Alligator mississippiensis: one gene and its partners. The protein of the gene in region 1 interacts with the protein of each later gene in a pairwise test. Links are inferred from orthologs where the notes say so. Each region holds a gene or a part of one and is shown in the gene's direction. Other genes may lie near its edges. The genes, in order: TEX11, EFHC1, PPP1R18 and MAPKBP1.

The links.
Region 2: the proteins of TEX11 (region 1) and EFHC1 interact in binary tests that used the Homo sapiens proteins (3 or more experiments, as listed by UniProt). The two-hybrid records come from large-scale screens. The link is inferred for Alligator mississippiensis from reciprocal best matches to the Homo sapiens genes TEX11 and EFHC1.
Region 3: the proteins of TEX11 (region 1) and PPP1R18 interact in binary tests that used the Homo sapiens proteins (3 or more experiments, as listed by UniProt). The two-hybrid records come from large-scale screens. The link is inferred for Alligator mississippiensis from reciprocal best matches to the Homo sapiens genes TEX11 and PPP1R18.
Region 4: the proteins of TEX11 (region 1) and MAPKBP1 interact in binary tests that used the Homo sapiens proteins (3 or more experiments, as listed by UniProt). The two-hybrid records come from large-scale screens. The link is inferred for Alligator mississippiensis from reciprocal best matches to the Homo sapiens genes TEX11 and MAPKBP1.

The regions. Positions count from the first base shown.
Region 1 is NC_081831.1:83,090,444-83,097,790, reverse strand, and holds the start of TEX11 (testis-expressed protein 11), read left to right. Parts: upstream 1-4,282; 5' UTR 4,283-4,392; coding exon 4,393-4,426; intron 4,427-6,497; coding exon 6,498-6,619; intron 6,620-7,347. Other genes in the region: nuclear cap-binding protein subunit 2, read right to left, coding at 1,970-2,068, 2,825-2,963, 3,629-3,810, 3,923-4,009. UniProt on the Homo sapiens protein: Regulator of crossing-over during meiosis. Involved in initiation and/or maintenance of chromosome synapsis and formation of crossovers.
Region 2 is NC_081824.1:8,953,365-8,960,824, reverse strand, and holds the start of EFHC1 (EF-hand domain-containing protein 1), read left to right. Parts: upstream 1-4,431; 5' UTR 4,432-4,476; coding exon 4,477-4,539; intron 4,540-7,460. UniProt on the Homo sapiens protein: Microtubule inner protein (MIP) part of the dynein-decorated doublet microtubules (DMTs) in cilia axoneme, which is required for motile cilia beating.
Region 3 is NC_081834.1:53,469,689-53,477,642, forward strand, and holds the start of PPP1R18 (phostensin), read left to right. Parts: upstream 1-4,837; 5' UTR 4,838-5,344; intron 5,345-6,050; 5' UTR 6,051-6,057; coding exon 6,058-7,954. Other genes in the region: NRM (nurim), read left to right, coding at 113-236, 324-526, 608-787, 1,020-1,340.
Region 4 is NC_081825.1:238,960,389-238,967,731, reverse strand, and holds the start of MAPKBP1 (mitogen-activated protein kinase-binding protein 1), read left to right. Parts: upstream 1-4,334; 5' UTR 4,335-5,195; intron 5,196-7,343. UniProt on the Homo sapiens protein: Negative regulator of NOD2 function. It down-regulates NOD2-induced processes such as activation of NF-kappa-B signaling, IL8 secretion and antibacterial response. Involved in JNK signaling pathway.

The DNA.
Region 1 (7,347 bases):
CAGCTGCACCTTCCCAGGCACTTACTCCTCTGCAGTCTGCCCTGACCAGGCTGGACAGACCGGTCCCCTTCCCCACAAGACAACCACACACTTGTTCTTACTGCGCATTCCTGCCTGCCCTGCCCTGCAGCCAGCGTTTGGGCCCCGGACGGCCTGGTGCTGAGGGCAGCATCCTCGAGTCTGCATCTTTGCTCCCTGCCTCTTACCTGTTGCATCTGACCAGGGCACAAAGCCCAGGTCACGCTGGCAGGAAGAGCTGGATGGAGGCAGCAGCCTGAGCTTCTCCACAAGTGGACTGAGCCATCTTAAGAATTCAATGTGAAACCCCTTCGAGTCAGGGCTTTGTGGCGACTTGAGCTATAAGCATAGCCTTGTCCAAATGCCTGGTCTGTACCAGCTGCAGCCAGAAGCAGGCTTGGTTCCCATTGGAGCCCAGAGACCCCCTTGAGACAGAGAGCTGCTCCCAGGTAAGTGGGGGATTTCTTTAAACGAGTTCAGTTACATCCCACCCTTTCCCAAAGGCTCAGCACGGCCTACAGCAAACAAGCCACAGAGGATCCTCTGGCACTTGAGGGCTCTGCAGAGCTGTGGCTGCACTGCACAGAGCAGAAGTTGCTGGTGTTTGCATGATCCCAAGCCAGCTCTGAGCAAGGGCGTGATGTACGCAGCTGCGGGGTTCTGCTCTGGCTTGGTGCAACACAGGAGGGGCATATAGCACCCCAGACCCCAGGTACAGGTCCGCTCAGCTGTGCTGTCTTTGAGGGGGAAGCAGTTCTTACAGGAGTCTCCTACCATTAGCTAAGTTGAATTTGGGCAGCCTTGCAAAGGGGCTTGGGGATGAGTGCCGGGCTTACTTTTCTAAGTTCTTGGGCTGACCTTAAAGCACAGGCTGGGCCCTCATGTAGCTGTATGCACCACAGAGGACCCGACACTGCTTGGAGGCAGGGCAGGGCCATTAAGAATAGTGACCTCTGGCTAGTTCCCCAGGCCAAGGGGAAGGCAGATAATGGTGAATTACCCAGCAGTGACCCGTTATCAGTTGATAACTGGGAATGGGCAAGCAGTGGGAAGTAAAGGAACCATGGTGAATTAAGTCACAGTAGTAAGTTATCCACACTCACCTGGATGGGAGCACGGGAGCACTAGTTTGCTGATTTCCATCTTGTTTCAACCAGGAATAAACACGAGAAGAAAAGTGACACCCACACCAAGGGGAAGCTCAGACAAATGCAGGCATCCATCCCTTAGCATGCAGGATGTGCCCCCCAGGCCCGTCACAGGTAAACAGCACCAGAGCACAGACTGCAGAGACAGGATTATACGTTTATTTAAAAAACCCAAAAGACACTTAACAAAAACCACACAGTAACTGGGAGACTGTGCCCCACCTAGGCAGTGCCAAGGGCACGGCGAGGACAGGGACTCTGCAGGTCTGACTGAGCCCAGGGATAGAAGTGCAGGCACCACTTGCACTGGCCAGTACAGTCTGATTATGCTTCTCCAACCCAAGCCAGCAACAGTGCTTTAAAACAGCAGGAGACAATGTAAACGGTAGACTTGAAACTCCTGCCTGTGCCTGGGCAGGTGAGACAGCTTTGATGGCTGATGAGTTCTCAAAGCTTGAACTTGAGGGAAACAACAGTGGCTGGAAGAACAGCTTGGAGGCAGCCAGCTGTGCCAGAGAGAGCAAGAGGAGTGAGTTGCTGCCAGGGTCTGGGTGCCATGCTGCACTTGTCCTTAAAGAGAATCCTGCAGAGCTGGCCACGCTGTTCCCTTGCTGCCCTGCATTAGCAGGGAACAGCCTCTCTATCCCAAAGGGAAGGGGAATGAGCAAATGTAGACAGCCAGTCTAAGGAGGATCACTTCGTCCTGGAACCTGGACCTTGCTCCCCATCCCAGTCCAAAGGGCAAGGACAGGGCTATCTATGGAGGACCAGTGCCCTTCTCTGTGCTAGGACAAATGAGGCACTTAGTAGATCATAGTCTGCTGATTCGCCTTTTGCATCTGGATGATCTTGCCAAAGCCACCTCTCCCCACGTCATAATCCGTCCGGTACTCATCTCGCACCTGGGGGCAGAGCAAGAGGAGGCATTAACACCCTCCACCTACTTACATGTCACAACGCTTTTAGGAGCCAGCTTCCTCTCCACCTCACCCCAGCAGTTGGTGGGCTGAAAGCCAGGGTGCAAGTTCATGTTTTTCAACTCGCTTGATAACACCCCATCACAACAGGGACAGGACAAGTGTGGGGCTGTTTTGAATGTCAAAGCAATACAAAACAGTCCAAACACTGTTCAGTTTGGCTTTGCAGTCTGGCTTGACGGATTGTCAAGGTTGAACCCTCTGAAATCTGGGAATGAATCTCATCTTCCCACTGGCGCATCCCGTCTGACAAGACTGCCCTTGCAACCACACAACAAAAACACGGGGCTGGCAAGACCTTCAGGGGGTCACATCTAGGGCAAGCCCCTTGCTTGAGGTAGAGTCATCTGTGTCAACCATCCCAGACTAGCACTTGTCTTTCCCGAGCACCGTTTCTTCCTCCCTGCTTGTTTCCTCCATCAATCTGACAGCATCTCATTGACAGCAGAGCAACATTCACTTTGCGCCCTCAGGAGCCGGGAACCCAGCTCTTCAGCAGCAGCAACTGTCAATCACTTACTCCAGTCCAGCATCAGGTACTAAACCAGTTTGACCGGCTTTAGTTCAGTTATTGGGTCTACGCTGCATTACTCTTGCTTTGTGTTGGCTCAGTCACGGTGAGCAGCACCCAGCTGAGCCCCGGGGAGCCATGTTCTAGACTGACGTTGGTCTGTTGCTTACCTGTCCTCCCGTCTTTCCTCTCCCGTACTGCCGGCCCTCCTTAAACCCTGCGTCCCAGTCTGTCCGGATAATGCGGTCATCCAGACGGGTGCCATTAATAAATCTCATTGCATGTTCAGCTTCCACTCTTGTGTAATATCTGGAATAACTTATAAGGAAAATACAAGGTGCTGTTCTGCTGGGTAGGGAGGTAGAAAGAGAGAGTAATTTTATATGGCATGGAGGAACCCTGACTTTCAACTCAAGACCCAAACGCTAACTGGCTCCAGTCCCCTCCCAGCGCAGCGCGAGGCCGCGCTCGTGCGTCTCAGCTCTGGCACAGCGAAAGCAACAGCGAGGGGTCCCTCGCTTCAGGGAGAGGCCGGGCGCTGCCCCCAGGGCGCTACACGTGCCCCTTTCCGGGACAGCGCGTGCTGAATTTGTACGCAGGACTTCAAGCTGCATCAGCCCCGCTTCGAGCCTCGTTTGTAGGAGACGCCTCGTTTAGCTGCCCGTGCGCGGCCGCTGAAGATGCTACTGCGCGGGTCGGTCGGTGATCGCACGCACTGCGATGCGCGCCGTGCATGGGCACCGCCACGACAGCCGCCCACCGGGCCGGCACAGCGCGGGGGACACCCCCGCCCGGAGCAACGCACCGACCGCACGGTCCCTCCGCCGGCCAGACACCACGCGCGCCAGCACGAGCAGCGGTCCCACCCGGCCTGGCCCCGTCCCACACGCGGAAAGGGCTGAGACCCGGCGAGGGGCAGCAAAGAAGCCCCTGGAAGAGGGCACCGCGCCGCGCAGGCAGCGGCTGCAGGATACTCCACGAAGCAGAAGCCGCACGGCGTCTTCTTGATCTTGTCCAGACCCATGACGATGCGCTTGACGTCGCCGCACTTGGAGAAGAGCTCCTGGATCTGCTCCTCCGTGGTGTAGAAGGACAGGTTCCCCACGTACAGCGTCGACGACGCCTTCAGCGACTTCTCCTGCAGGTACCGGCTCCCCTGGGGGCACAGCGGGCGTCAGCGCGGGGGGGCCGGCTACCCCCATCCCCTCCCCCACAGCCCGCCGCACCCCAACCCCCTCCCCAGCCCTGCCCCACGTCCCCCGGCGCACCCGGAAGTGCTGGTCGCGGTACTGGCTGATGTCGCAGTAGGAGTCGCTGCTGAGGCCGCCCAGCGAGGTGCCCAGCAGCCCCGACATGGCGCCGCAGCACGCGCCGGCTCCTCCCGCCCTTCTAGCCCCGGCGCAGCGCCGCCGGAACCGCCCCTCCCCCGCTCGCCCGCGCGCCCACCCCATTGGGCCCAGCGCCCGCCACTCCGCAAGGAGAGGCGGGGCGGCGCCCCCATTGGAGGAGGGCCCTGCCCGCCAGCCAATCGCCGCGTGGGGCTGGCCTCCGCCGCGCCGGAAGTGCGCGTGCGCGGCCGCGGGGGGCGCTGGGAGCTGTAGTTTCGCGCCAGGCGCGAAAGCCAGGCGCGTGTCCCGGCATACCTCGCGCGCCCAGGCGCTGAGGTGCGAGGAGCGGGGTGTGAGGCGCAGGCGCTGCCTCGTGCTTGGGGCAGGCCCGAGCAGCCTGGCGCTGCGGCATGGCGGGCGCCCCCAGCCTCCCCGCCCTGCAAGGTAGCGCCTCCCTCCCCTGCCCGCCGAGGGTTTGCAGCCTGGTGTGGCGGGGTGAGGGGCCCTGCTTGCTGGGGGCGGCCTGGTTCACTGCAGGCCCTGCGCACCCCGCTTCTCCACCTCACCCCCCTTCGCCAGCCTCCGTCTCCCAGTGCAATGCAGTGCAGCGCCGCCCGGCTTCCCGCCTCCGAGAAGAGCAAGAGCTCCCCCGAGAAACCCTCCCGCGCCGTCTCTGCTCCCACGGCGCTCCGGTGCCACCGCAGCGCCGTGCTGCAGGACAGCCTCGAGTTCGAGACGAGCGCCCGGGAGAGTCGCCCGGGAGACGAGCAATGGGGCGCTCGTTACAGCCGATACGAAAAGCTGTGTCTGGTGTAGACGGGAGGCCGGCAGGGTTTTCCAGTGTCACAGTGGCGTGCGTCTGCCTCCCTGGCGTCGGGGCTGCGTGCTGCGCCGGGCGCGGTGGCGTCCCGAGAGCAGGCTCTGACAGAGCCGGCAGCCTCCTGGGCAGACACGCAGCACGTCCGGGGGTGCAGCGGCGACTGCCGGGCAGTCTGGCTGTTCAGTGGTGCCGAGCTGCTTTGCCTTGGAGCCGGGCCGCCAGGAACAGGCTGAGTCGTCAGGGGAGATGTGCCGTGAAGCGGGACGCCTCCGGCTGCCGGGGCCCCGCCCCGGGTGAAATACTTCTGGCCCTAAACCAAAAGCTTAGCGACCAGTGCGTAACGTTCGACGTGAAGGCCGTGTCTCGCCCTGTACCCGGTTGAGCTGAGCGCACGGCTGCAGAGGAAATAGCAACCTGTATTTGTTTTAGTTTTGGAGTCTAAAATAGGTACTTGATAACTTGTTCCCGATCAAGGAAAAGGGCACGCTCTGTTACGTAACTTACAATTAAAAGTAATGCGTGATTAGTTCTGGCGTGCTAGGATTACAGGAAAGGAAATGTGGTCGACAGATTCATTTTTGTTAGGACAATATGTAATAAGGTAACTTGTGAAACTCGCAGTGGCTGCAGAGCCTTGTGTGTTCCTGAGTTCATCAGTTAAGAGACTTGGACAAAACTTGTTTTGCCTTTTCACGTTATTGTTTTTGATGTCTTTGGAAGTTAAAACTATTCTCTCTTGCCAGAGATTACAGGGAGCTTTCCGTCGACTTGAGTAAAACAAACATTATAGTGACTGGGGCAGAGGTGCGGGAGGGATTCGTTTTGCTCCTGGACCAGAGTCAGGGTTTTTGTTAGCAAGGTACTGGGCTCTCATGTCTGTACCGTGTAGTGCTGCTACTGGCTGCCCAACTGGGGGTAGATATTTAAGCTAGCACGTGAAAAACTATGGAATTGGAGACAAGGGAGGGCAAAAAGGTTTTATATGGTTTTATTTGGTCCCCTAAACTGCTCTGAGGAGTAGTTTCCAGCTGCCGTTGTAAGGGATTTACCCACTAAAGCAACCTCATTCCTTCCACATTCTGAGAGTGGTTAAGAGAGCACCTGATCAAGTCCGACTTTTTCCTTTTAAGCCAAGGGCAGGGATTTAAAGATTTAGCAGTTTTCTCTCTTTTTATAAAGATGCATGGGGGTTTTAGGATTCTAGAATCGGTGGTGGCAGGTTGTTCTATGATCCTCAAAGGAAGCGCTGGCGTTGGCTTACCAGTATCAAAGATCCTGAATACAGGTTGTGTACATTATACTTTCAGAGGGCCCAAGAATAAAAGTTGTTTAGGAGGGAACAAAAGACTTGGGGGAAGCAGACATTTTATTCACAGATAAGATGTGCCACATTCTGCACTCTTTACTTATGTTTAGTTCCTTTGACAAATGTAGATTTCACTGCCGCAGTTTAGCAGAATATAGCCTTATGCCTTAACTAAAATAAATTTTCTTTAGAATAGAGTTGTTTCTCAGGAGTTACTTTGTTCAGCTTCTCTTGGTCTCCTTGTTTGTGCTTTTTTATTAGCCAGGAAAATATGAAGAAAATGTAAACCAATGGGTTTTGCTTGTACAGACTTGTTCAGAGATGATGTGCTACTCATAACATTTGTATGGTGCTCACTCCGTTTCTGCCTCATGCACCTTATTTTTCAGAGCTTGTTCAAGAGCTGCTGAAGAGAGACGCCCCATCCAACGTTCCTGAGATCATTGACAAACTATTCTCTGAAATAGAAAATGTGGATAAGAAGGCAGAGGACGAGATTCAGGAGGCTGAGGTAGAAGGCCAGGGACTGTTGGATCCCAAAGCTGGATATTTAAAAACAGTCTGTTCTTACAGCCAAGGTGGAGGCAAGCAGTATCTACTGCAGTTTGAATGCTCATTGGCTGGTGCAGATAATGAGTTGTCATAGTACTGAGAATCTATAAAAGCACTTACATTTTTGCATGTTTTACTTATGTTTTGTATAACTATAGAGCATACACTATAACATTTCTACTTCTCCATTAGCACATTTGAAGAAAGTAGAGGTGTTTCTAAAAAAAAAAAAATGTAAATATTAGAATAGTAAACATTAGCAACTGGCAAGTGGGGGATTCCACCTGTCCTTCAAAATGATATGTATTAATGTTTTTGAATTCTGAGGCAAAATATCCTTATTTAAATGTCAACACTACTGACATGAATGAGATGCTGTGACTTTTTACTTTTGAATCTAACAATGCAAAAAGACTAAAAAAAGCACAATAGTAAAATAAATGTAGAAAAGAATAATGAAGATGTTAAAATTGTAAATACAAACACTCCAAAATCGCAATATAAAAACACTGAAGTTTTCTTAGTAAAAATCTTTCCCGTGCTTCACATTGATTAGTGATTACTAGTCATAATTTTAAATGTCCACCTAAATGATAAACTGTAGATGCATTGTAAATGAGTTAATACTTTTGGAGTCTTGGCTTTTTGATTGCTTATAGTTCATACCTAATCAAAATAGAAGAGATA
Region 2 (7,460 bases), on another chromosome or scaffold:
CCCCCTGGGCTGGCCAGGTACCAAGCAGCTGTTGACAGCGCTATCCTGCTCCCTCTGAAGTCGGGGAGAGGTTTGCTGTTAACTTTGGTGGTCCTAAGAAACTAAATGCCACCGCACCAGCTTCCCAGCTAGTTGTGTGTCCCACAACTCATGCTCAGCCGGCTGGAACTTGCCATCCTTAGGCATCCCTGAAATCATTTGCTCCAGCATTGGGGACTTCTTGAATGATGCAAAACTGAACAGATCCTCCTCAGACTGATCAGCCATAACTGATCTAGTGGTTTATAGTGTCTAACAGCGACCTGGTTGTAAGAGGCTGAGCCCATCCATCTTCAGTGGGTTGCCTATGGCTTGTGAACCCATGAAACTAGGGGCCTGGCCTTAACTAGTAGAGATCATAACAGCTCTGCTGTAGCCATTGGATTTATGCTGCTTAACACTAAGGATGCCAGCTGGCCCGGTGTGCATTGCATTCAGGATTTTTCCAAGGGGAATGGGAGATTTGGGTTAGAAGCAGCCTCTTCAGACCTGGTGAAGAGGGCATGGTAGGTAGCTTAAAGGTGCATTTCCATCAAAGGCTTTACATAACAGAACAGGGATATATGCTGAAGCCCCACACGTGCCTTGGTATTCAAAACTCTTACTGATGATGAGCATTGCCTCCTGCCAAGCTGAAAACTACTAAACATGAATATATTGGGGTTCGTCCGTTACCTGGGAAGCGACAAGGGGTGCGAGTATCACACACCAGCTGTCCTCCCCACCTATCCTGAATTTTGTATTGTTGAAAACACTGAGAACATCCAAGGCTTTGCACTGTACTGACAACCGTTTAAAATCCCCAGTAAAAGAAAGTTATAAAAGCCGTACGACGCGTGTGATGTGAAATTTGTCAATCCACGGAAAAGCAGGGGAATCCAGGTGGCTGCAGCTGCTGGGTTATTCAGTGGAAGTTTGGCCTCTAAGACCACACATGGAGGAGGAAAAGGAGGAGAATAATAATAATATCATAAAAATGATGCCGTACTTGTCCTTCATTTAGGGCTTGTAGCAAAATTCTGTTCAAGCCTTATAGCTGGTCACTAGCCCCATTTTACAGTTAAGGCACAAATGCTTACACTGGCGTAGGTAGGGAGACAACGGGTGTGTCTGAGTGCCTCCGTGCTGCACCATGACACCCCTGGGCCCACCGGCATGAAGCCCGCCGTGTCCACTTGCTCCTGGTCAGCCTGTGCGTGATCTCAGAAAGGTGAAGTTGCTGCCTTTGAGCAGCCTGGAGCATGTGCCTAGTATCATTAGCTGTGATGAGCTTTAGCTGTGTCCTAGGCCTGCCCGTGGACATTTGCTCAGCTCCGTTGGATGATGGAAAGGTTGCCTCATTTACAGGATCTGACATTTTGAGTAGGAGCGTGCAGGTGGGATGGTTTTCAAGGCCGTGCTTCTGGGTACAGCACAACCCTAAGTGGGAGTTTGTCAGCAGCAGGGCCACGAATAAAGCCCTCTGGCTCGTCTTTCAGGTTAAGAAGAGGAGCTCGTAGACGGTCTCTCACAAACTTAAGTGTTTTGCTGAAGCAAGGCCAGATCTGCAACAGCTACCTGATCATCTCCAACTACACACAGGATGCGTTTCCATCCTGGGGTTTCCTGGTGAGCTCTTAAACCCTGGGAGCATAGTTGGGACCATTTGGCTTGTCTCCAGGGGCCTGAGGGAGGACATATCTCCACCTCCTCCTCCTGCCAAACTGGAGATTAAATTTTTTTTTTCAAATAAAACAGCAAGGGTGTCCATCACTGCTGTATCTTCATGTTTCATCCACGAGATGGCAAGGTTCACTCACCCTGGGCAGCAGACAGCGTGCTGCCTAATGCCAGGACTCCCTTCCAAATGACCTGGGGAAAAATGGTGGTTTTCAAGCAAATACCAAACCAGCACCACAGGATTACACCTTAGTCAAGAGATGTGTTTCTAGGCAAGGGATGTGCTTCTTTCAAGTGTTACCGTTCATAGAAGAAGACCCGAAGGCAATTCGCAGTTAAAGGGACATGCCAGGTCCACTGTTATACTTCTATAAGCTAAAAAATGGAGAGTAGAGAAGAGTAAGGAAAGTTTGGGGTTTGTTTAATGGCAATAATAATGACGGGCGAGGTGTAGCATGGGATTTTTTTTTCTACCATTGTTTAGGATGATAGAAATCCCACCCCACTGAAGCCAGCTGCAACCAGCCCAGCCCCAAGACAGCAAGTGCAGGCAGGAAACCAGCATCCGGGGGGAACTTTTACAAAAGTGCTTTCTGTTCATTCCTGGGGGTGTTAACAGCAGGGGGGGAGGATTTTTGTTTTGGGCACCAGATGCTGCTGCAATGATCATCTTCAGGAAGAGACCACGTCATGGGTCTTTTACCTATGCCAAGTTGTCTGGTCTTCTTGAAGTGAACTGGCATCCAGCATTGGCACATGGTTTAAAGTGCCAGTGGTTTCATTTCACTCTTTCCTCCCAAGTGTCAGAAAAAGGGAAAAAAAAATGAATGTCCTGTGTCACAGCAGTTGTTTGCAGTTCCTACTGCTTTCAGTGAAAGTCCTAGTTGAATGCCTCTGAAAATCAGACCAGCAGCATGCTATCTCCTATGGTGTCAGAAGGGGCAGTCACGACCCGTGTCCAGTTGTTCAATGTCTCCCAGCCCCAGGCTTTGCTCTGATGGGAGGTAACAGTCAGTCCATGAGAAAATGCTCTCAATGTAAATCACCCATTATCAGGATCTTTCTAGATACCTATATCATGTCACAGACTTGCGCACAGCAAGGGGAAAGTCTCACCAGCAACCCCTTGCATTCGATCAATCGGCCACATGCAGAATCACAGTGAAATACAACGTAGTTAGATCACGCGAGGGGCTTAATCACCAATGAAGCATCACACGTCCCTTGTGCCGCTGGGATGTTCATGGAGTTGGACTTTTCTCACTGTCATTCTTTATGGCCATAGCTGCAAGTCCCTAGCAGGATTCAAGTCTCCCTGCATCGGGTGCTGTTTGTGCACAGAGGAAAACAGGCCTTTTTGGCTCCAAAAAGGCTACAAATCCAAATAGAAGGAGATGCAGGAAAGGTTGGCAAAGGTAGCACTGTTGTCACTCTTTTACAGATAACAAAACGGGCATATGGGGGTTAAATGAGTTGCCCAGGGTCGCACAGGCAGCCTCTGGCAGAGGAAGGAACCAACTCCAGATGAACTGAGTTCCCAGGCAGTGCTTTAACCACAAGAGCAGGATTCGTATGCTGCTGTTTTTATTGCCATTCCTCACGTCCTAGGAAAGCATCAATGGTTTAACCCCTGCCCCGACCAGTATACCCAAGAGGAATGTGTTGGGAGCAGGGGATGAGAAGGGATTCACCCAGGCACCGCTGTCGGGGCCCCGTCTCTGCTCTGCCACCAACTTTCCGTGTGATGTTGGGCAAGTCACTTCTTGTCTCGGGTCCCAGCACTGCCCGGCCTCAGAGCGGGGCTGAGAGAAGGGCATGAAAGATTGTGAATTGCTCCGGTCCTTACAGCGACGGACAGGGCTGTATCAATACCAGAACGGAGGCCTGGTAGCTGGAGCGGAGAGACAGCAAGCAAATGCCTGGCTCGTGGCTCCTTTCCAGGCCCTTTTCCTCCAGTACTGTTTGGCCTTGAGTCTATCCATCTCCTTTGGCCACGTTTCTTATCTCAGAACGGCGGGTTTTCTCCTCTCCCTCAACCTTGCCTGCATCTGGAGGAGGATCCAGCTGCATCGCCCGCCGCCCCCTCTCCCCTGCCAGCTTGGCTGTAGCCCGGTGATAAAGACGGACACAATGGCCACCTCCTCTTGCTGCCCCAGCTCCTCCCTGCCCCTCTGATCTGCCCTTCGAGGCTGGGCGAGCAGCTATCCCCCATGCCAGCCTGGACATGCCACGTCTGGTTTTGCTCGGTGGTATGCAAAGCCCAGAGGCGTGGGCACTGCCTGTGGCAAGGCATCGGCATGGCTGCACCTATCACCTTGCACCACCTCCTCCCGGACACCTCCGCTTCCCAGGGGCTATTGCACTGCCTCCTGCTCCAGCAGCAAAGTGCTTCCTGGCACTACTGGCAACCTGCTTTGCTGCAACTTCAAGCCATTGCTGCAGCCTGTGGCACCCCCACAAGTTGCATCCCTGCCAGGCCAGTGGGTGGTGCTTTTGCATGGGTCTACACAGGGGGCACAACCAGGTGCAGGGCGCTGGTGCGTTTGGAAGAGGCCCGGGCTGTACCCTGACACAGCACAACCCTGCTGGAGCTCAGGAGTCCCCACTACGCAAGCGCATGGGAAAGCCGCGCGCGGGAAGCGGGCTGCAGCCGCACTGCGCATGCTCCGCCTGGTTCCCCCTGCATTCGCCGGACTGGTGGGGGGGTGGAACGTGGAATGTTTGCGGGTGCCATGGAGACGGCGTTGCCCGGCGACGGCCCCGGAGCGCGCGCCGGCCATGAGCTCCCGCCCGGCGCAGGGGCTGCCGCTGCTGCCCGGCTTCAGCTTCCTCGACCCCACGGTGAGCGCGGCCCCACGGGGGACCATGCACCCAGGGGACCCCCTGCACCCACGTGGAACTTCCCCTGCACCCCATGGGCCTCCTGCACCCACGGGGGACTCTCCCAGTACCCCACGGGGGACCCCCCTACACTCCATGGACCCCCCCTGCACCCACGGGGACCCCCCTGTGTCCTACGGACCCTGCCCTGCACCCACAGCCCCCCCTTGAACCCCTCTGCACCCCACAGGTGACCCCCTGCACCCCATGGACCCCCCCAGTCCCCATGGGGGAACCCCCTGCACAGGCCACCCCTTGCACCCGATTCTCCCCCTGCATCCCATGGACCCCCTGCACCCACGGGGGACCCCCCTACACTCCATGGACCCCCCCTGCACCCACGGGGACCCCCCCTGTGTCCTATGGACCCCCTCTGCACCCATAGCCCCTCCCTTGAATCCCTCTGCACCGCACAAGTGACCCCCTCTGCACCCCACAGGCTGCCCTTTGCACCCGATTCTCCCCCTGCACCCCACAGCCCCCCTGCACCCACAGCCCCCCCCCGCATCCACACCCCCCCCTTGCAACCATTGCTCCTTGCACCCACAGGCCCCCCTGCATCCCATATTCCCCCCCCCCTGCATCCACAGCTCCCCCTTGCACCCACAGGCATCCCTGCACCCTACAGCCGCCTTGCACCTCATGGCCCCCCCTGCATCCACAGTCCCCCCCTTGCACCAACAGGCGCCCTGCATCCCATGGTCCCCCCTGTACCCACAGGGCCCATCCTCCCACTTGCAGCCCACAGCCCCCTTTACCCCACGGGCCCCTCCCTCTGCTGCACCCCATGGGAAACCGTCCCCCACACCAGTGACCCCAGCACCCCACTGGGATCCAGTGTCTCCTGGCAGCCCAGCCCCAGGGAGGGTGGGCGGGGGGAACCGGCACCTCCAGCCCAGGGACCCACAGGCCTGGGCGGGACCTCGGGTGCTCCTGAGACGGGAGCTCCTGGCCTCGCAGGGCTCCCGGGGGAGCGAAGCCCCTGAGCCGTGCTGGTGTCCGCCAGGTCCTTGGAGACACAGGACGGAGCCCTCCTGGCTTCAGGGTGACGGGACAGAGCCCCTAGATCTGTCCGACACGGCTGGGGCGGTGGCGCTCAACCTTATTGCCCTGTGGGCTGGATGGATGGTGCCCATGGTCCATCCCCGGGCCGGATCCAGCCAATGATCCCCATCCCGGTGTGCAGAAGGGGTTGGGGAACAGCCTGGCCCCGTCCAGATGTGCAGGGGAAGGGGGCTTAGCCTGGCCCTGTGAAGGGTAGGGAGGGCCCTGATCTGGTTGTGGGCTGATAGTCTGGGATAGGGGCCGTGTACTTGCCCCATACCCCCCTCCGACCCAGATATCCCTGAGATACCGAGCTCCCTGTCCCCTGATACCTCCCTGGGGCTGGGACTTTGGAGTAGGGTCCTTGTCTGCCTAATCATCCCACAGGAACCAACACCTGATACCTCAGTGAGAGCTGATGCCCTAGGCTAGGGGACCTCAGGAGCTCCCTAGCCCTCCGTGGGCTCTGCTGCCTTGAGAGGTGGGAACTCATCTTTTTTCCTAGGCAAAATCATGCTTTTCTTCTACCCCGGTGCTGTTGCAGTGGTGGGAGCAGGGCTCCTGGCAGACCTCAGCTAGTGCTTGGTTAAGAGAGGATTGCTCCGAAGTGCTGGGCTAAGGGGCAGTGATGGTCAGGAGACCTGCCTTCTCCTTCTGGCTCTGCACTTTCCCACTGGGTGGCCCGGAGTAAGTCACAACACCTCTCTCTGCCTCAGTTTCCCCAGTTACAATAATACCCTTTTGGAGTAGTAGTATTACTCAAAAGGCAAGGGGTCATTGATGTGCTCCTTTGAAAGACCAAAGGATCAGACCCACCTGGGACCCCCATTGAGCCTTACTGGAGGATCAGTGCCACACGGGTTAAAATCAAGTGTCTCCACTTTGCTTGGAATATCTTCTCCAAGCTCCTCATTTTGGCTTTGATGCTGATTTCTTAGCAGGAAACTGCCTGTCTTGTGGCCAGTGTCATACTTATGCAGGGCTCTGTTAGCATCTTGTCTTGCTTTCACCTGAACAGGCTTTGCTGCTGCTCTGTCACCGCTGGCAGAGTTGGTTTTTAAGTGAAAATGGGTAATGAATGAGATATGCGAGTGAGGTTATAAATCGAATTATGGGCCTGAACGGCAGGGAGGCTTGTTCGTGTGAATGAGACTGGACTGGTTGCTAATTTGGGGCTGGAAAGGCACGTTCTCTTAGTGCATTCGGGAATGTGTCCGCTGCCAGTCCAGGAAAGAGGACGGTGTGTGTCAAAGGCTCTATACTGAGATTCTCCTTTAGACCAAGTGTTAGGGGCCTTTTGAATTTTGAAAATACGTAGAGGCCACCGTGTGCTATGCAGTGACAGTCATAGGGCCCTAAGGGAAGTCTTAAGGTATCCCAAAGGGCCTGGCTTTTCTTTTCCTTTCTCGGAAGGAGGATCCAGTTGGATCAGCTGGCCACATCCCATCTTCTTCAGTGCCTGCAGTTGTGGGGGGTGGGATGTCACAGTGGGTGGACTCCATCTCCTCCCATTGTTTCTTCAGCCGGCCCAAACAGAGCAGGACCACCCAGACAGCACCCCCATTGCTCAGGACTGGGGTGAGAGTCTGGGTGACATCCACAGCCCTGCCACTGACTTGCTATGTGTCCTTGTCACCTCCCTGCACCATCGGTAAGCGTATTGAATAGGAACAGCGGCTCAGAACTATGTAGCTTGGCAGAGCTAATGTCCCCAAAAGGTGAGCTGTCCTAAGGAAGCTGCACCCCACATTGGATAAGAGCAGCAAAAAATAATGAGTCACTGCTGCAGCATTAGGGGCAGGCCAATGTGTGCCATGTGCACGGAGGCAGGGAGGTTT
Region 3 (7,954 bases), on another chromosome or scaffold:
GCGGGCCCTAGGAGAAGTCGCGTCACAGGGGAGCCCCGGGGAAAGCCCCTCCCCAGCAGGGCGGCGCTGGCTGGAGGCGCGAGTCGGGAGTCCCCGCCCCGGTGCCCGCGCCATGGCGCCCGCGCTGCTGCTCGTGGTCCCGGCCCTGGGCAGCTTCCTCTTCGCCTTCGGCACCGGCGTGGAGCTGGTTCGCTTCGTGTCGCTGCGCGCCGTGCTGCCCGGCGGGGCGCGGCCGGGTAGGGCGGGGAGCGGGGCTGGGGGCGGGGCGGGGGGGCGAGCGAGCCCCGGGGCGGCCGCGCTCACCCCGCTGCCGCCCCGTGCAGAGCCGACGGCCGGGCGCGAGTGGGCGGCGGCGCTGCGGGACCCGCGCGTGCTGCGGGCGCTGGCGGCCGATCTGGGGCTCGTGGCGCTCTTCGTGCTGCAGCACTGGCTCATGGCCTCGGCGCCGGCCAAGCGCTGGGCCGCGCGCTGCCTCGGCGTGCTGCACCGCTCCTGCTACGTGTGCTGCACCGCGCTGGCGCTCCAGGTACCGGGCGGGGCGGGGCGGGGCGCGGCGGGGCCGGGCCGGGCCGGGCCGGGCCGGGCTGAGCAGAGCGGGCGCCCGCAGGTGCTGATGCGGTGCTGGCAGCCGGTGCGGGACGGGCCGCTGCTGTGGGACGCCTCCCGCTCGGAGCCCTGGGCCACCTGGGTGCTGCTGGCCTGCTTCATCCTGCACTTCGTGGCCTGGCTCATCATCTTCAGCATCATCCTCATCTTCGACTACGCCGAGCTCATGGGGGTCAAGCAGGTACTGGGTGGAGGGAGGAGGATCCAGGGGCTCAGGGACTGGGATTAGCTTGGGGGGGTGGAAAGGGGGAGGAAGGAGTCTTGGGGTCTTTCCCCTCTTGGCTCCAACCTGCTGCAGGTCCCCTGCCCCAGGTCTGTTACCACTGCCTGGGCTCGCGGGGGGCAGTCTTGGGGGCTTTCCTCTCTCGGCTCCAACCTGCTTTGCCCTCATGCCGTGCCGTGCCCTGCCGCAGGTCTATTACCACTGCCTGGGCATGGGTGACCCCCTGGCTTTGAAGTCGGTGCGTGCCGTGCGGCTCTACTCCCACCTGCGCCACCCCGTGTACCTGGAGTTTCTCCTCATCCTGTGGGCCGTGCCCTGCCTCTCCCTGGACCGCCTCCTGCTGGCCACCCTCTTCACCGCCTACATGACCTGCGGGCACAGCCTGGACCAACAGGACTACCTCTACCTCCGTGCCCAGCTTGATAAGAAGTTCCAGGTCTTCTCCCGTGAGGAAGCTGCCTATGGGGACCTGCTGGCCCGCAACGGCCCTGTCTTGAGCAAGGAGAGCTGAGTGGGAGCAGGACCCTGCTGGATGGCTTTTACCTAGGGGGAGGTCTGGCGCAGTGGTGCCCTTCCCCACCCCCCACCTTGCCAAGCACTGATGCCCTTAGCTCTGCACTTAGTACTGTAGTGTTAGGATCTCTCCTGAGTCCCTAGAAGTCACAGCTGCCTGCAAAAGCAACCTTGGAGTCTAGGCTCCCTTCCCCATGCTGTGACCCACTGGAACACTCTTCCTTCCCAGAGCTGCAGTAGAACCCATGAGTCCAGGCTCCCAGCCCACTTGCCCAGCTCCACTTTCTAGATACCGTTGGCCTTACAGAGCTCGGTAGAGGTTGGTCTCTCTCCTCCCTCCCCCATTGTAACACTCTTCTTTCATAGGGTCCTTAAGTTCAATTCCTGGCTCTGAGAGGGGAGTAAAGTCTGGGTTACAGTGGGGAGGTCCAGAGTCAGGATTCCTGCCTTCTATTTTGAGCCCTGGGTTTAATAGTTTCAGAGGCATTTGAAATCAGGACTCCTGGGCTCTTCCCTACTGCCTTCCCCATAGTGATGGACGTGTCGCCAATCTCTGCTGCAAAAGTCTTGAAAAATGGTTTCTAAAAATGAAAGTAGGGTACTGTTTCTTCTGTATTTAGGTACAAGGCAAAAAAATGGCTCGAGTGATATGAAGATGAGCTGGAAAGGAGGGATGATTAATAGGAAGGGAAGTCCATCCCTTTCTGGGGCCTTGGCTCTGACCTCCCACACTTCAGTGGCCAGTGGATGCATTGAAGGTGTGGGGAGAGCAGGGGAGTCAAGACATGGGGATCAGGACATAGGGCCTCTTCCCTGCAGTGAGTGCCAGGCTCCTATTAAAAGTTAGCTAGGAACTGTGCCACAAAATCCAAAGCCTGCTGATGTTCAGGTCTCCTAGCTTAATGCAAGTGTTCTAGCTTAATGCTTAATTCATTATGGGGATTGGGACATTTTGGGTCCACCAGAATCCCTGGGCCCCGTCTTGGAGAGGAATGGTGTCCGATGGGTTAGAGCAGAGGGGCTGAGCATCAGGACCCCTGAGTTCCATCACCAGCACTCAGGAAGGGGGTCCTGTGGGTAGAGCAGAGGCTGAGCTGGGATTCAGGATACCTGGGTCCTATTTCTGACTCAGGAAAGCAACCCCAACCTTAATCGATGCCTTAATGAAGAACCTCTATTTTTAACGCTGCCTTTTTGTGCATGTGGGGGTTTTTTTGGTTCTTTTGTTTTGTTTTGTTTTGAACCTGAAGCTGATAAAGTATTTTTGTATCTTGGGTTTTTGAGTGATCTGGGAAAAGGCTAGTTTAAAACAAACAAACAAATAAATAACTAAAGAGAATTATTGCATTTACAAACATGTTTCTGTGAGACGGGTAGCACAGCATGGGGCAGGACTCCTGGGTTCTCTCCGCAGCTCAGGGAGGGTGGTGGTGCCTGGCTTAGGGCAACACTTGGGTATGCAGCCAGCAAGCCGTATCGCAGTGCTCTGTCTCACTCTCTGCAATATACCTGGAATGAAAGTGTCTGGGGTATCCATCTCTTGATTGCATGCTTTTCATCTGGGCTGTTAGACGTGGTAGGGAGCTTGGGGCAGAAAGTTCGGGTCCTCCTATTCCCAAAGCATCATCTTGGCACTAAGGAAGGAGGGAAATTTAGCTCCTGCCTGTCAGCACATCTTTACAAGCACATGAGCTGTTGCTGTTCTTCCCACTAGAGGGCATTGCTGCCACAGAGATGCCAGGCACTGGGTACTGCACCCTGTTCTGGTCAGCCAAAGGCATTACACACACGGGGTCATGGGGCAGCTTGCCCATGCTACCCTAATGTTCCCTCTCCATACCCACCTGTATCCCTGGGACCCCTTTTCCCTACTCCCAGATCAGTCTCCCTCCTTCCCCCATCAGTGTTTTTGTGTGACTTCCCCCCTGCCCCGTCCTCTACTTCCCCACCTGCCACTCTGTCCCCATTGCAACCTTTCTTTGGCAAGGCTGAGTCAGTCCAGGATGTGACCCCTGATGGGCAGAGCTGTGCCACCAGCAGCTCTGCCGGAGATGCTGACTCACCAGCTCACGGTGCGCAGCAGAAAACATGTCTTTGCTGGTGGAGCTGTGTCTGCACCAAGGCCTGGTTGGTGCCACCCTGTTCTACAGCCGTGAAAAAGTCCTGTTGGCATACACTTTTTCACTAAGGAACTGTGCCAACACAGCAGCAGGGGCTACCCTAGGGAAGACAAGTGTTCGCCGCATAGCAGTCTAGGAACATTGTACCAGGGACCCGCACTGACTGTGGGTGTAGTATCACCCTCTTTCCTTTCTCTTTTGGAGCTAATGCTCCAGGGGATGGTAAGAAGAGAGCTGAAACTGGGGGTGTTAGGATGGGAGGTGTCTGTACTGTGGGACAGAGCTGAGTGAAGCACTTCCCAAGGTGTTGAGGCTACCCACATGAAGAGTTCAGAAATGATTGTACCGTGGAACAAGCTGGTACCAGCCTTCACCTGGGATATCCATCAGCACTTATTCTCTTGGGGGGTGGGGGGGAGTGTTGTTACATGAACTCTCCCAGAGCAACACCCCATGTCTCCCCACTGGTGCCAGTGTGAAGGTGATGCTGTGTCTGTTCCCTCAGCTTGGCCGCTGGAGTCTGTGTGTATAGCAATGCTCCCACAAAGGCAGGGCTGGAGATGTGGCAGGGGCCACCCCTTGGTGGTCAGAGCTAAGCAGAGCAGGCCTCAGCTGACATTGCTGGGAACAGGGGGGCTGAGGCCTGCCCTAGGCTTTGGCTTCCCCTCTCAGTGGGTCAGGCCGTGCATAGCTCACATCCTGGATGGAGAGCCAGGGGCGGGAGTGGGGGCTGTAAGGAGCCTGTGTGACACGCGTGTCTGGCTGGGGAACCACGTGAACAAGGAGCAAAGCAAAGTTAGGTATTTGACCTGTCAAATACAGCTTGTTTAATTGACCTGTCAAATATCCATCAACTATTGTAAAAAAGAAAACAAAACAAAAAACACCCCCCAGAAATGTCAACAGGTCCAAATACGATGCAGAAAAACCACAAATTTTCCATTATAAAGTGTGTCAGAAAACAGTAAAAAAAAATCTTGTTTCCATCAAGAAACATACAAATATATATTCCTAAAATCACTATAATCTTTGGGCAAAAAAATATGTGGTCAGTTGACCAGCTTGCCAACCCTACAGGAAAGTGTGCGCGCGCGTGTAGGGGGATGCTGGGGTGTGTGTATGTGTGTGTGCATGTGCATAGGAGGAGGGTGGGGGGTGTAGGACGCGAGGGTGTGTGTGTGTAAGGGGATGCTGGAGGGGTGTGTGAGATGCTGGGGGTGCACAAGTAGGGGGGCTGTGTGTGTGTGTGTGTGTGTGTGCGCGCGCGCGTAGGGGGACGAGCGGGGTGTGGAGGGGAGGCCGGGGGGTGTGGAGGACACCGCCTCCCCCCGCAGATCCCTGCCTGCCCGGGTGCGGGCGCTGGGGCCCGGCTCTGTCGAGCGCAGTCAATCCGTGCCGGCCTCTGCCCGCCGCGGCCGCTGCCCGTGGGCGCTGTGCAGGAATCCCGCGGCGCCCCCCGCCCGCCCGCCCCGCCCCGCATTGTCTCCCCGCGCCTTCACACACAAAGACCCGGCGGAGGCGGCGGCGGCGGCGGCAGCGCCCGCCCCGGCGGATCGGGGCCCCCCGGATCGGGGCCCGCCCAGCCGCGCGGCGCCCGCCCCCGGACGCCTGGGTCCCCGGGGCTGCCCCCACCCCCACGCCGGTTCCGCGAAACTCCCGCGACCGGGAACCCCCTCCCCGCCTCCCTCCTTCCCTGCCTGCCTGCCCGGCGCGGGGCGGGCGCCTGGTTCCGTCTGCCCCGCGGTCCGGAACCCCCGAGCCCCGCCCGGGACAAAAGGAGCCTCCTTCCCTCCCTGCCCATCACTCCGACGCCCGGGTCCTGCGAGCCACGGAGCGCTTGAAGCCTCCCAGCCCGGACGCCTGGGTCCCGCCGCTCGCCGGGGTAATTATGCTGCCCCCTCCCGCACCCCTTCCCCTCCGGTGGGTTGAAAGGAGCCCCCACCCACCCCAGGAAAGCCCGACGGGGTCCCCCGCGCCGCGCCCGGCCCCTGCCCCGGCCCCTGCCCCTGCCCCTGCCCCCGCCGGGCTGCAGGCTGGGTCGGGCTCCGGAGCGCGTGGCCTCCCGGCCGGGCCCCGGGGACGCTCGGCCGCCGCGTGCCGGGCTGTCAGGAGGCCCCGCCGGCAGCGGGCAGGGAGGGGCTGTCAGGCGGAGCCGGCTGCGAGGGGGGAGAATTTGGTTCATCTCCTTTCTCTCTCTGCCGGAAGCCCGTGTGATCCCGGCGCCGCCTCCCCCTCGACCTCCCCATCACCCTGTCCCTCTTTCACCCTCTCCCTCGCCCGGCTTCCATGCCCGCTCTCTTCCTCACCCTCCTCTGTCCTTTCTTCCTGGCCTCTCAGTCCCTCCTTTCGCAAGCCCTCCTTCCCCACCGCTTCCTCCATCATTGACTCTCTTTCCTTCCCTTCCCGCTCTCTCCCAGCCTCCATTCCTTCCACCATCCCTCTTTCCTCCTGACACTCTTTCTTCTTAAATCAGGCCTCCTTCCCTGGCTCTCTCTATCCCTCCTCCTTCCCATTCTTCTCTCTTACAATCCTTTGTCCTCCTTTCTGCCCTTTAAACTTTCCCTTCCTTGCCTGCCCCCCCACCCCAGGGCCACGATGTCGGCTCCCTCGTCCTTGCCCGATTGGAAGCTGATGCTCTTGGAGCGGAAGCGGAAGGAAGAGGAGGAGGCGCGGCGCCGGGAGCGGGAGCAGCAGGACCGCATGGCCAAGATGCCTGCATGGAAGCGGGAGATCATCGAGCGCCGCCGTGCCAAGCAGGGCTCCAGCACTTCCTTCTCTGAGCCTGGAGGCAGCAGCGAGGGCGGCGGTGGCAGCAGTGGAGGAGCTGGGCCCCCCTTGGCTGGGGTGGGAGCCCCAAGCCCTGGGGAGGAGCCCAGCAGTGAGGAGAGCGCCGTTCTGCAGGAGAAGATTGGCCCCGTGCACCAGAACCCCTTCATCCAGCTGGAGAAGCGCCGCAAGGAAACAGCGGCACCGGACAGCGACCCAGCCAGCGCCAAGGCCAAGCAGCTGGCGGACGCCTACAGTCAGATCCCTGGCATCCGCACCCTGAGGGCCGACAACGTCATCATCATTGAGTCGGTGCCCGACGTCGAAGGGGCTCCACTGGGCACAGGGGCTGAGCGGCATCGGTGGCCAGCGGAGGTGAAATCTGGCAGCGTGGAGTCCCTGAATGAGCTGCTGGTGCGGCCGGGCGGGAGCGTGACGGAGATCCGGGCGGGTGAGGTCTTCATCGTCAAGTCAACCGTGAGCCGCAGTGCGGAGGACCTCAACTCCTGTGGCCAGGGGCACGGGGATGTGGGCTACCAGTCGGCGCGGCCAGAGCAGCGTCGTGGGCGGGTCAGCAAGCTGCTGAGCCACTTCAGCCAGGACGGTGGCGGTGGCGGTGTGGGGCCGCCCCAGCGCCCGGTCAGGTCCCTCAGCACTGAGAACCTTGCTGATGGCTCCTATGAGCACCCCTTGGAGACCAGGAAGCTGGATCCTGGCCTGGCCCGGCAGCATGGCAGGTCTTCCAGCCCATCCTGCGACCTGCCAGGGCTTGGCGCCTCCGCACCACCCCAAGCGCCCCTCTTCACGGTGGCCTCCTTCCGCAATCAGTTTGAAGCCAGGTCTAGTGGCGAGGCCTGGCTGGAGAGCCCTCCACGGCGCTTCTCGCTTGGCAAGTCTTGGAACCAAGAGGCAGCCTCGCCAGAGAGGGGGCCCCGGCTTGGCAGTGACAGTCGTGCGGCGGGCACGGTACCACCAGGCTCACGAGGCAGGGAGGCCACCTCTCCAGAGAGGAGAGCTAGGCCTAGCAGCGGTGATCGGCTGGCAGCAGCGCCCGGTCCCCAAAGCACCGAGGCCGCCTTGCCAGAAAGCGGGGCCCAGCCCAGAGGTGGTGGCTCAGTGGCTGCGGGGCCAGGCCTAAAGGACAAGGAGGCCCTCTCCCCAGAGTGGGGCGCGAGGCACGATGGCAGTGGCCCAAACACAGTCATGCCAAGCCCACAGGGCAAGGAGGCTGCCTCTCCAGAGAGGGGAGGCTGGGACTTGAAGGCCACCTTGCTGGATGTGATGAGCACAGGTGAGGCGTTGGAGCCAGGCCCAGCAGCCATGCTGGAGCCTGATGCCGACACACAGGCCAAGGCCCTGGCCAGCTTGCGCCTGCAGTCACGCAACTCCTTCATGGTGGTGCCGCGGCGGGCCAGCAGCTCCCCTCCCCCCTCCTCCGACGCCGCCGAACCCAGGCAGGAAACCGGCACTTCTCCTTCTCCTCCCCCAAAGCCCGTGGCTGTTCTCAGCTCTGCTTCCTCCCTGAGTTGTGAGCAGACGCCCCCGCCAGCCAGCGCTGAGGAGCCAGGCGACGGGGAGGCCATGAGGCGTGTGGGGGCCCGACCAGCCCGGGAGCTGGGAGGGGTGTCGCTGGTGCCACACCCAGCCGTGCAACGCCGGAGCGGCAACACCATCACCATCAACCCACGCAAGGCCCCGGTGCCGGCGCCCACCGTGGAGAATGGCA
Region 4 (7,343 bases), on another chromosome or scaffold:
TTTTGCCTAGGTTTTTGTGCCTTTAAGGAACGTTAAAGTCACATTTCCAAGTTCTTTTTCTATAAGACTAATGTTTCAATATTTACACAGACAGGTTGTTAGCCATATTAGTCTGAAGTCAGGCAGAAGGCAGTGTACTTTGCACCTTATAGACTAACTAATTTAGAAATGTATATAGCACAAGCTTTCATGACCTGGAGCCCACTTAATTAGATGCTGTGAAAGGTCATGTACAGACCAATAAAATGGAGAGAGTGATTTGAATACAAAAGGTGGGAAGGGAGGAGGGTGAGAGAAGGGGGGCAGCAAACAAGAAAAAAAATTATAGGAACAAAGCTAACCCAGGTAATGAGTAAGAATCCATGCTCCCTGTTTAAACCATACTTAATGCAACCCAGGCTATGGATAACTTCTTGTTCTACAATTTTCCTGTTCAAACTGCTTTTTAAAATATTGCTGCCTGAGAACAGCCATCTTGAGGTCAGCAATGGAGTGTCCAGGGAGATTAAAGTGTACTGCCACAGGCCATTGTTTCTTTCTGCAGCTGATGTCAGATCAGTGTTCATTCATTCTTACATGAAGAAATCATGTAAGATCTGTCCAATGTAGACAGCAAAGAGGCATTGTAAGCAGGTGGTGGTGTAGATGACATTGGTAGACTTGTAGGTGAATGAACCTCAGATATTTTATACTCCTTGTTATTTGGTCCAGTGATGATGTGGTCTATATTGATGTGGCACAGCAGGCATTTGGGTCTGCTGCAAGACCTTGGTGAGGATAGGAGTTAGTCTGTTTCTTGAGAGACGTGTCACTTGAAAGATGCCATTTGAGGTTGTTACTTACAGCCCTCAGCTTGTACACGTGGGGTAGGCAACCTCCAACATTTTGCTTGGCACGTGCACCTCAGGGTGGATGGCAGAGAAGCTGCCAGTGGTCTGATCCTTGCTCTTGGCTGTTACAGAGCAGTGGTGCCCAACCTCTGGCCTATGGGCCAGATGCAGCCTGCAGAGCTATGTCATCTAGCCCACAGGTCTAGAAAATTGGCAACAGAGGAGCAGGGGGTATTAATTACTGCTTCCCTGCTGCCAAATTTCTGGACCTGTAATAAGCCCTGTGGGTTGCATGACATGGCCTTGAATGTGGGACTGGAGCTTGTCTGCATTATGGGGCTATTGCTGGCATAGCTATGTTAGTGAAGATGTAGCATATGGCAGAAGAGGCTTTTCTCACAGGATAGTTATACTACCTTCCTGGATGAAAAAGAGCTAAGCCCTCTTCTGGCATAGCTATATCCAGATGGTGTTGGCGGGGAGGGGATCTTGCCAGTATAGCTACATTAGCTACAGCAGCATCTCCCTACCCTTGTGGGTATGCACCCCATCATAGGCACATGAAGTTTATTCATGTCCTTCTCTTGCACCCCTATACTTCAGTCACCAGCATTTCTCAGAAGGGAAGTGGGAGCAGCAGCTGAAGTACAGGGTGGGGGCAAGAGAATCAGCAGAGAGGAAAGTGGCGGGTGGCAACTGAATTTGGGGTGGGGCACCACTGATTGCCTAGGAACCTTTTGGGCCCTGGCACACGGGTATGCCCCATAGCTTGGGAAAAGGTGAACTAGAGGGTATGCTGATTTCAAGCCCCTGGCTGATTGTAGCTATGACAACAGAACTTGATCTGTGCTCCAAAGTTCTGTGCTACAAAGCCTGTGTTTCTCCCAGCAAAGTAACCTAGGACATTGCATTAGTGGTGAGAGCAAGTGAGGTCTTCCTCCCTGGTGACCTGATGATTCAGTTCTGAGTACCTTTTAAAGCAGCTCCATTGGAACATAAAATCCTCAGGCATCACAGGGCATGAAGCAGGGAAAGTTACAAAGCAGAACAATCACCTGCCTGTCTGCTGCATGTCCCTTCTGGCCTGGTCACTGAGTCCTAGTGAATTTACTTTTTCTAAACAGAGACGCACAGCAAGTACAGGGAAAACAGACTGGGCCTTTTATTAGGCCAGCTTAAACTTGTTCAGTATTTCTAAAAATCACTGCCTGCTTATACTTAGCCTCTTAAATCAGCTTTTAGGTACTTAAATAGATGGTCTAGACGGTTTTCAAAAATACTGAGCCTTCAACATCTCTTGCTGGAAGAGAGAAGCAGATTGGGTGCCCAACACTTTTGCAAATGAGGCCACTTCTTAAGGTGCCTACATATGGAGTTGGACTTCAGTATCTTAAAACTTGGCCTTATTTTTCCTCCCAAAGAATGTAAATCTCACCCATTCTCCAGCCCCATCCTAATCTTCAGAAATGTCACATTTCTGAAAAAAGCTTGAAGTTTATTCACCCTGCACTTCATGCCTCTTACGCACATATAAGGAAAATGTACCAAGGGCAGGAATACACTTTTTATACATGGCTTGAATTTTGAAGAGTTGTTCTTATATAATCCAAATAAAAAAATCTAAGCAAAGGACAAAGACGGTGCATAGCCCAGCCACATCAGTGTCCTGAGCTGCAGAGGAACCAAGCTTCTGCAACTCTAGTAAGAGCAAACAGAATTTGCCAGTGCTCAGCAATTCTTAATAAGGCCAAGGCGTGCACTTCTGACATTTTCTAAGAGTGACAGGAGAAGAGCCAGGTGGAGGGAGCATAATCCTACATTTCCAGCCTGATCCATTGATGCAAAGAAGAGCTTTATGTACATTATGGGCTGGAAATTCAAGATCAAAGCTAGGATAGCATTGACGTGAAATTCACAGAGCTCTAACTTTACTGGTCTGTGCTCTCCTTTTGTGGGATCCATATATCAGGATATTTCAACAAGGAAAACATGTTCTGACTCAAATAATTCACAAAATGTCCCTTTTGCCTTGAATCCTTGAGTAGTTTTATTGAATTCTTTGCAAGATGATGTTTCTTAAACAACCCCCCCCCCCCCCCCCCGCCCCTCCCCGAGGTTGTGGGGAAGTTTTCAGCTGTATAACTTGCTTTGTTTGCAGGCATTTGTTCTTTCTCTGTATTTACGATGTCTAATATGAGGCTCACCATTGCAGCAACACAACTCGAGAAAATAACTGCAGAGGAATTACATAGCCAATCATTGTGCAATATCCTCTTTGAAGAGGCAAAATCCATGACCCCAGTTGTGAGAGTGAAAATCCCTGTGCCTCTCATTACACTAGCACCTGTAGGTTTTAGTCAGGGTTAGGGATGCATTGTGCTGGGCAGTGGCAACATATTTAAGAGACTGGTCCTGAAAAAATATACAGTCTAAATTAAGCCAAGATTTTTGGCTGTAGATGTAAAACACAGGGAGGGGATGCAGGTTATAAGAAAGAAAGCTGAGGATAACAATAGGCATATGTGGTTCCATTCGCTATCCATGTATATAATTTAGTCTTTTATATAAATAAAAGGCTTTTATATAAGGCAGAAGGAAGCTTCAGCAGGTTACCTGCTTGATTGCCATTATTAGGCCGTTTATTCTAGGTACCATGTCAAAGCCAATGTGAGCTTAGTGGGTTTGCTATTTGATTCTGGGTGTTCCAAAAATACAGGCCTGTTTCTCTTAATTTAATTGTTTATTGGACGGTGAGTCTGAGTAGTGCAGCCAGTTCTAATGCCCCAGGCTTTAGTTCATACCAAAATCCTAGTTTTTAAGATGGATGCAAAAGTTCTGCATTGTTTTTTTTACTTTAATTTCTTCTAGTTTTAATGTTAGAGCCAGCAGATCCAGCCCTTCGCATGGCTTCCCAACACAGCTTTCCCAACTGTATAGTTGATCCAATAAAAGACATCACAAAAAAACCATTGCCTTTCATACTAATTAATGCAGGCAGAGCACACAAACTACTACAAGATCGTTTCAGGCTGGACATAAGGAAGAAATTCTTTACTGTCCGAGCCCCCGAGGTCTGGAACAGCCTGCCACCGGAGGTGGTTCAAGCGCCTTCATTGAACACCTTCAAGATGAAACTGGATGCTTATCTTGCTGGGATCCTATGACCCCAGCTGACTTCCTGCCCTTTGGGCGGGGGGCTGGACTCGATGATCTTCCGAGGTCCCTTCCAGCCCTAATATCTATGAAATCTATGAAACCATGTTAACATGGTTGAACTGCTACCAATACTTGGCATGTCTATATGTCAGTATGTCTACATGTCAAAAAGACCAGCAAGAGGCTGTTAATTGTTACCTTGTTCTCTGCTGCAGTGAGATCCAGGAGAAGGCTGTTATACTAAAGGTATTTGATCTGCTACTTTACTGAAACCAGAAAAAAAAATTATTTAAAAATCAGAAAATAAATGTAAAATTTCAGGCACATTACTGTACTAGCTTGCACTGGAGAAAACCTGTGAAATTTCATGTTGGCTATTTGTCTTAGAATCATAGAATTGGACTGTTTGAAGGGACCTCAAGGGTCATCTGGTCCAAGTGGGTTTGTAGGAGCCCTTATTCCTAAGCCATCCCAAACAAGTGCTTATCCAGCCTATTCTAGACAATCTCCAATAATAAAGCAGATTCTACAACATAAACATGTGGGAAAGTTTTGGATTTCCTGAAAAATGTTGGCAAAGTAACTATCAGAAACTTCAGCATTTCTCTCACCCTAGTCCCTTTTGATAGGTCTTAATTTGCCACTTATATTTAAACTGTCACCCATCTTTTAATTTAAATAATTTGTGTAACAGGCAAACATTTCCAATCACATATTTCAGTATCCTTGTGCTCAGAGTTCACATAAACAAGAAAAAATAATTGCAGTTGAACAAGTTATCCTAGGTAAACATCTCAGCTGTCCCTCATGTTAGGAGACATCAGACATTTAAGTCCCAAGCTTACACATACATTTACTGTCTCCTCTCTTTTATTGTCAGACCCCAGAAACAATCATGAAATTGAAGAGGCAGGGGAGAGCACCTTTTTAGCACAATGCTTGAGTGGTTAGGACACTTATCTAGGGAGCAGAAAATCCAGGTTGTAGGCCCCACCCCACATCCAGAGGAGGTTTGAACCTATGGTTTCCACTTTCCAGCAAAATGCCTTAACCATGAGGCCATGGGCTAAGTATTACTGTGAAGTATCCTCCACGTCTCCTGTTGAAGATGGTCTACTGGGGAGCCAAGAGGGGAGAACTATGGGGTCCTAAGGAGAGCAAAGCCATGGAAGTGCAACTCAGTGAGATAGTACAGAAGCTATCTTATTGGTATGTATCCATTTTATCCAATGACTATTAAATGCAAAATGCAAAAGCACTATTGAGGGCAAGGTTCTCCTCCACTTTTTATGACTTTACATGGATTCCATGCTTCCCAGAGGGAGCAGGCTCTAAAATCTGCCTTACTGGCCTCAAATGGCACTTACACTGCTATCTTAGCCACATAAACACTACTTACTAAAGGTGGAGTTGGATTTGGGCCAAAGAATCTAGCTCTTCCAATTGTACTGCATGTGTCTGAATGATACAGTAGTGTTGTCTTAGTCTGCATAGAAACTGGGTAGCTCTGAGAAAGATGAAATGCCTCTATTATTTCTCACAAAGATATTAAGGTAGGAACCTAAGGGCGCTTAGAAACTTTGACATTATGAACCCTTTTACTGCTGGTCATTATAGCCAGGTTAGATAGCACAGGAGCATAGTTTGGTGAACTGCTGAAGATATATTGGGTTATACCTCTGGGTCTTTCCTTATAGCATATGCAGATATGCAGGATTTTGACCAGGCTATGTTAGTATCCTGATCCTGTGATTATGCCAGTGCATAACCTAAGGGGTATGACGAATCTCATTTTGTTCACCAGGCTTTTCACAAGGTGTTTTTGTTTTTGGTTTGTTTTTTTTGAGTGATCAGTTCTAACACCTGGGGTTTGGAATGAGCCATTTAAGATGGGATAGTTACCAAGGAAGGTAGAAAGAAGGCCATCAGAAGAGATGGAAAGTGGGGAAGAAGAAGGTAGAGGGTCGCGACTGGGAATCAGAACATAGGGTGTAGCATTTAGCAGGGGAGAGGCATGGTAAGTGGCAATTGCATCTTACCTCTTTTTGTTTAGTTTTTGCCATGTATAATTTGGGCTCCTATACCCTCCCTTGGGACTCTTGTGGCTTTAAGCCACAGCCCTGAATGGAAAACAGTGTGTAGTTGCACAATTCCTTCTGAGCCCACAGGGGACTGTATTCACTACTATGCCCTGCATACACACACTTTTATAGTCACTCAGATTTGCTGGCCAGAGCAGAGGGGAAGGGGTAAACTTTCTAGCCACCCCACCCACTTGGATGCAATGGTCCCTGTGTTTAGGAGAGTGTAGGACAGGAACTGCATACTTAAACAGGCACCAGCTACTAATGAGGCTCTACTACTGAGCATTTTGGCTGTCTTGGTGCATGGAGATATTTGCCTCTTAGGCTCTCACTTCTGCAGTTGCCTCCACACAAAATCTTATTGCCTCTTCAGAACACAATTCAAGCCCCATCCTCCTTCCAGAGAAAAGTGCAAGTCCCATCTCCCTGCCAAGGCCTACCAAGGGCTTATCTCAGCGGCACTGCCCTGAGGGGGAATTGCAGAGATGATCCTGCAGTACCCCAAAGTTGATGGTGGTGTCTCAACCTTTTCAGATGTGAGGCATCTTTGGATAGGCTTGGTGCATCCCTTGGAAAATGCCAGCTCTTAGTTTTAATTCTGTTATTGAGTGCAGATAAATAACAAAGCCATTTTTCTGTTGCCAAGAACTGAGAAAGCCTGCAACTATGGATTTCTATTTCGAATTGCTGGGCTTATCTTGTGAATCAGGTCTGCACACCTCACAGTGCTAACATTGGGTGGCACCCCAGTGGCACCCTTGAAAGGATCTCAAGGTACTCCAGGGTGCTGTGGCACCCCTGGTTGAGAATCCCTAGGTTAGATGATGGATTTGTATAGGATGGTTTGCATAGGGATAGGGGTACTCAATCCCTGGCCTGCGGGCCAAGTATGGAGTCATCACATGTGGTCCACAAGGCTTCTCCATGAGGTGGGAAATATGGTGGCAGGGGAGCAGTGGCCATTAATATGGTCACTATCACCCTGCCAAATTCCTAAACCCCAAGTCCTGTGTGCCTGGTTGCAGCCAGGCCATGTTCCCTTTCCCGCATCTGGATTGGGCCACATCCCCTTCCCCTCTGGGGCTGGGATGTGGTGGGGCTACCCCCCCCTGCCCCCTTCCACGTGGCCAGATGGTGCCCATTGTACTAGGGCCAAAGCCAGATCAGGGCCACTGGTGGGATCTGGCCTGCGGACAGACAGAGCGCTGCCCATCCAGCCATGGAAAAAGGTTGAGCACCACTGTATAGGGATGATCCTGTCTCAGGCTATAGA